Linked DNA regions of Coturnix japonica. The protein of the gene in region 1 purifies or fractionates together with the protein of each later gene. This does not show direct contact. Links are inferred from orthologs where the notes say so. Each region holds a gene or a part of one and is shown on either strand. Other genes may lie near its edges.

Region 1 (3,521 bases):
GCCCATGGCCAGACACCTAACACAGGTATCTATCCCCACAAGAGATGGGCTGACAATGTTCTGTGACCAAACCTGACCTGAACAAGCATCTGTTTAGTGTTTGCAGTGTGAACAGCACCAGCCTGACCTCTGCTGGGGCAGGGTGAGCACAGCACACAGCTGCACCCAGAGCCGGCTGCCTCCTGCTGACAGCTCCTCCCTGCCCTGAAGGGAACCAACCCACATCCCCTCTAAGGGCTGCACATCAGGCTTAACCACCCACCATGAGATGCAGCACTAGTTTCCCACCAGCAGCACACAGCCCTGTGTGGCAGGATCATTACACAACATTAAATTCCTTATAAAGACATACACACATTTAATTCTTAAGCTCCTTGCCCTCCACATGTAGACATACCTACATAACCAACACCTTTCCTGCTGCTTTGTGGGCACAATGCTGCTCCTTCAGCAAAACTCCCAGAGAAAACTAAACAGACACCAAGGTCTCCCTGCTGCCACTGACAGCTATGCCATTGTTTGACATTTCAGGTGAGGTCTTCACACATTCACTTGAGTTAAACACCGAACAACAAGTTGTAACCAAAACTTTAATCCCAAGGATCTCACAAAAGACATTTTACAAGTGACATGAAAATTCTTGTACAGTAAAGAAATGTTTAATTCACAGCTTTTACAATGTACCATTACACGGTCAACACATCCACTCCAGTCGTCAGTTCTGCTGTGTATTTGGTCTATTCAGAGGTCCTGGAATAGATGGTCAAGCTATCGGCTATTTAAGAAGCACTCTAGTCACACGAAGTACAAGATTAACTGAGCCTACAAGCTAAAACATTGTATATCATAATACAAAGTAGCTCTGTTCCAGTAATGGAAGTCAGAACCAGAGCCGTGGTAATAGCAGCTCGCAGTTCCCTTTGTGACTGCTGGTAAGCAAACACCTGCACCTTGTCCTGTACTAACACCACTCACAGCCACCGCTCTGCAACAAACTCCTTTGCTGCACACTCCCCTCCACAAGCTGAACCCCAGCAAATCACACCCTGCAGAATGTCGAGACCTGAAACATCACCTACGCAAAGACAAACTGGTAACCATTGAACACTATTAAGTATAAGGGTACATTGTAAAAAGTGATTCATATTACAATTCATATGATCTGCTTAGAACCATATACAGATTCACATCTTTACATTTGCCACCTGTTACAAGATACAAGGAAAGCAAGTTCAACAGCTAAAACATTTTAAAAATGCACCAAGCTTTATGAAATTCCAAAACAAAACAATGTTCTGTACATACTCCCCTGGACTCAGATCTAAGGACTTCCTGTACACAGCTCCCTCTCAAAGTCTTACTTCCTCTCGTTTGACCTGGAGCGACTGGAAGAGAAAGAACCAACCACACATCAGCTGGTGTTAAAGGCAGCACATTCAAACCTCCCACCCCAACCCAGCACGTGGCAGATGAGCATTTCACAATAATGCTCCAATTAATAAAATAGGTCTTAATTCCAGGGTGAATGCCCTCATAAAAGGCTGAAGGTTGCTCTCCCCCACAGTGTGTCTCAGTATTACTAAGGATGCTGAGTTACCCACCTGCGAGACCTGGAGAAGGAACGAGAAGGCTTATGGTTCCTCTCCCGTGAGAGTGATCTCTCTCTTCTTCTGTCTCTGGAGAGGGACCTGTTAGAGACAGCAGCACAAGGATTATAACAACGGAACGAAGCTGAACTCGTTAAGATTACATGGCTGCCTCAAGAGATTGCCTTCAGGACATCAAGTTTTCCCTTCCTGAAACCCTTTCCAAGACTATGACAATAACCAGCTTGTGCCATCTAATACAAACCAAGCTGATGTAAACAGGCTGTGCTTTCTCAGCACCTCAGCTAACTCAGTGCATCAATACATACTTGAGCATCTTTTAATACACCTTATCCAATGCAACTGCAAAATAACCACGTATAAACCCACTGTGCATTCACTGCTTCACACACACTGCAGCATGAGGGCTGGACACACTCACTGCACACTGCTTCTCATCACAGCATCTGAAAGAACTGGAAGGGACTGTGGACAGCTGTGTGATATGAAGTATATTAAGAGTGGAAATAAGTTTCCAGCTGATAACTGTGCAATCTCCTGTAGGTAAGGTCAAGCAAATCCACTTCTCCAGCGTGCTGAGTTACATTGCTCACCCAGGAATGTATGCAGACACAGCCCCATTTGCTCACCTCCTTTCACATCTCAGACAGTAACAATGTGTACGTACCTGCTGCGGCTACGAGAAAAGCTTCTCCTTCGCGGTGATCTAAAACCAGAAAGACAATGTGAGGCTTTTTATCAACCCTGCCAGCATTAACGGGGTGAGGCATTTCCCAACTTGTCAAACTCACTGTTGGGCCCTGGGAACGTGCCAAGAATAACTGGCATCCATCATCCAGTCAAAGGCATGGAAAGATTAGGCAATAAACCAAGCTCGGTGTGAACAGCACATTTCCAATCACCGTTTCAGTTATAACTAAGAATGCTTCATAGCAGAGTTGTCCAATGCAACACTTCCATTTCAACTAAATACACTGCCCAAAACACCACACCAAAGTCCCACAAAGTGGTTCCAAAAAATAGCACAGACCAAATGTTTTGGAACCCATGCAAGCCAAAAAGGTCCATGACAAGACATAAAAGAGATACCAAGTGGGAAAAAAAAGTGAAAATGCGCTCAGTGTAAATATCGACAACGCCATTAAGTGCTACATTAGAACTGCATATCTGTGATTGTCATTCTTAATGCCATAGTGTGTTTAGACTACTTTAAAGAAGTCAATAACCTTAGCTCGGCCCAGTTCATCCCAAAAAGTAATTGTTTTAAGTTCTGAAAACTGTTAGTAAAACCGTTTAAAGGTGATAGGATTTGCTTTGGTTTTCTTTATTGCAATAAAAAAAAAAGCTAAGTTGGTTAGAGCTTTATTAAAATTTAGTTTGCCATCTCACATGCAAATAGACTCGTTTGTACGTTATTTCAACAGTCAGACTTTCCATATCACCCTTAAAAGTTTCCTCAAGCAACATAGGTACGTTACCATTCAATTATGCACAGCCAGCCTTTGATTGAGAAAAGTAATTACTTATAAGCCGCTTACTCCTTATTTTAACCAGCAGTAAACTGTATAAGCAGGAAAAACTTACTAGTTTTTGGTTTCAACAAGCTAGAAATGGTGAGGTGAGGCTGCCGGACTGACTGCCAAGAAGAATTTGCTGAAAAGGTTTTGCCAGATGTTGCGTTGTATTTAGTTGGTTGGCGAAGGGGGTGTTGTGGATTTTTCCTGCTTTTTTGTTAGCCGAAGGCTGCTGCTGTAGTTGTTGTGAAGACATTTGGTAAATAAACAGCTGAGCTGATTGGCCGGGAATGTGTGGGCGGTCGAGGTGGCTGCTGCCGATTTGGTTAAGGTTGGAGAGAAGGCTGAGAGAAAACAGCATGCTCGGGAACCAAAGGGCGGTGCAACCTGACGACTGGCC
Region 2 (2,806 bases), on another chromosome or scaffold:
TAAGGCAGCACTAAGAACCTCCCCCAGCCCAAGGCCTCCCATCCCAGCACCACTCACCTCAGGTCGGACCGCGGGGCCGTTCCAGGCGGGGCTTGGTGCTGCTATTCGCCTCCATTAGGGCCTATTCTCCTTTATCCCCCTCAACTGCCGCCTAGATCGCTCGGGCCTACAGCCCTGTGTGGACAAGGAGGCGCAGCCCTCACCGCGAACAACCACACCGCGGCCTGGCGCACGAGGAGAAAGGGCGGGAAGAACCGAGACCTCTGCTTATAAAGGCCAGGGATGTACCACCCTACGGCGGGGGGTGGGCCGCACCGCTGATCTCGCGAGAGAGGGGGTGGGCCGCACTACTGTTCTCGCGAGAGGTGGGCAGGCTGTACCACTTTCGAGGCGGGGGGTGGGGGGGAGCGAGGCGTCCATTTCTCACAGCGCGGAGGGAGGGAGGGAGCGCTGAAATGGGGCCTACAACTGATTAGTGGGGATGGAGCCTTTGTGGATCGCAAAAATAAGGGATATTAATGAAAGAACACACTCAAATGGGACATTACGGTGATCAGACACTGCAGTGCTTTACTCTCAACAGCACTTGGATGAGCCATATTTATATATTTAATAATTAAATATAAACAGTGGGGTGTCACAAAACAAGATGTGAAAACCAGACAGTCCCTGGTTTCCATTTCTCATTGCTGTACCTTCCACTTCCCCTTTAATTAAAGCAGTAAGAAGAACTGCAGACTCCTTTGATGCAACTTCAAACCTATTCCAACTTAGAAAACCAACCAAATAACCAAAAACACAAAACAAAGAGAGGAAGAGGGGGGAAAATAAATGCTAAAAGGCAAATAGGAGAGAGATACAGACATTCAGGACTGATAGAACATGGGAAGTAGGGATACAATCATAAGATGGAAGGGATATTGAGGTCACCTGGCAGCCCCTGCATGAACAGGGCCATGCGGTGTGTCCAGGCAGCTGCTGACAGCTCCAAGGATGTCAAAGCTCCACAAGTTCCCTGAGCAGCCAGTGCTCCATCAGCCACGCAGTAAAGAAGTGCTTCTTCAAGTTCAGACAGAACCTTCTGTGTTCCACTTTGTGCCTTCTGCCTCTTATCCCATCTTATCACCAATGAAGATAGCTCAGCTCTCTTTGCGTTCTCCCTTCAGGTGTTTATATACACATAACCCCAGCCAGGGTTATGAAGGATGAACTTAGGATGTTATCCAGGATGAACAGACTTAAAGACAAAGCGAACATCTTCAGAGGGTCAAAAACATAACAGACAATGGTGGGGTGTCTTTTTTGCCACCAGCAGAACACAATGTGCTATCACAGAATGACCCGGGTTGGAAGGGACCTCAAGGATCATGTAGTTCCAACCCCCTGCCTGGCAGGGCCACCAAACATACACCTTTACTAGATCAGGTTGCCCAGGGCCCCGTCCAACCTGGCCTTGAACACCTCCAAGGACGGGGCATCCACAACCTCCCTGGGCAGCCTGCTCCTGTGCTATCATTAGAACTCATTCAGTATGACTGGCAATCAATATATGTGCCACAGGCAATGAGAGGGAAAAAAACTGCAGCTGCACTCTGATCAAACCTTTATGTAGAGAGGATACGCGGGTAAAGAAATAAAAAGCTGAATGTAACAAGTCAACCAGGTGCACATCCACATGTAATATACAAGAACACTCCAAAATACTGACATGGGACAGCAATCTGATAGTTTTCCTTTTCTCTTTCAGTGATATATATGGGTAGTTTAAACAGCACACAGGAAAACATCACTAGAGCTTTTTTTCTCACCATGGCCAACGGGAAATTTCCACAAGTATAAAAATGGAAGTTTTTCAACTGTTAAGATTTCTTCAAAACGTAATAATACAATTGGATGAGAGAATTTCTCAATATGTAACTAGGAAAAAAAAAAGATAAGAAAAACCTTCAGGAATTTGCACAATTCTCTCAACCAACTTTGCAGTCTGAAACACTGCAATTTTTGCTTACAGCAGAACTCAGTACCACCAAAACAAACAGATGAAGTCCTGGAGAGCAGTGATGCTATATGGATACCGCATGAAACCTCACTATACTACAGCGTTGGATTTACATTCATTATTTTGGAGGAAGGAAACGTGACAGTCCCTTTATGCTTTCTCCTTGCTGGCTGCTTACCCAAGGAAGCATTATTGTTATTACTTGAAGAGGAAAGGTGCTGGTAAGTGCCAGAAGGGCAAGGCAATGGTGCTGACTGTGAAATGCCCTGTTCTTTGGATGAACTGTGTAAAACATTTTGTTAAAAGATTCCATGTTAAAAATATTAAGAACAAAAAGGTCTTCTTAAAAATACAGAGTGTTTCTCCCTCTTCTTTTAAATTCAGAGTTTAGGGAAAAGCGTTTGGCTAGAATTAACTACAGGTTTGCTGTAATTAACATATAAGACAATGCCCTACATAACACAGGGCCAACCACAGACTCCAGACAAACATGATTGCTTTAGGTTTCAAGTGGCATATGCATCTCTATTTGTGTATAAAAGGAACTGAGACATTTCTGGAACCTTCACTGCAGTCTTTGCCAGTGTTCAGCTTTTGGGCAAAGGAAATCTTTGCCTCACTGCAGAGTCACGATCTTGAGGATCAAAGTGTAAAATCAGGATTCAGTATCTGATCCAGAACTGCTTTCTCGGCTGATTTCAATTTGTAGAGAAGGTAAATTATCCAGTCGACTCTTTTTTTGCCGAGACTCCTCTTTTTCCTTAATGAGAGCACCCCAAACCCGCTGGAGCTCTGAATCATCTTCCT

The links. The genes of interacting proteins can lie anywhere in the genome.
Region 2: the proteins of SRSF3 (region 1) and NCBP3 purify together in Homo sapiens (co-immunoprecipitation; 3 studies listed by BioGRID and IntAct, with this or other methods). This does not show direct contact. The link is inferred for Coturnix japonica from reciprocal best matches to the Homo sapiens genes SRSF3 and NCBP3.

What each region holds. Positions count from the first base shown.
Region 1 is NC_029541.1:1,938,803-1,942,323, reverse strand, and holds the end of SRSF3 (serine/arginine-rich splicing factor 3), read right to left. Parts: intron 2,314-3,521; coding exon 2,275-2,313; intron 1,689-2,274; coding exon 1,602-1,688; intron 1,386-1,601; coding exon 1,358-1,385; 3' UTR 572-1,357; downstream 1-571. UniProt on the Homo sapiens protein: Splicing factor, which binds the consensus motif 5'-C[ACU][AU]C[ACU][AC]C-3' within pre-mRNA and promotes specific exons inclusion during alternative splicing.
Region 2 is NC_029534.1:3,956,256-3,959,061, forward strand, and holds the end of NCBP3 (nuclear cap-binding protein subunit 3), read right to left. Parts: coding exon 2,655-2,806; 3' UTR 545-2,654; downstream 1-544. UniProt on the Homo sapiens protein: Associates with NCBP1/CBP80 to form an alternative cap-binding complex (CBC) which plays a key role in mRNA export. NCBP3 serves as adapter protein linking the capped RNAs (m7GpppG-capped RNA) to NCBP1/CBP80.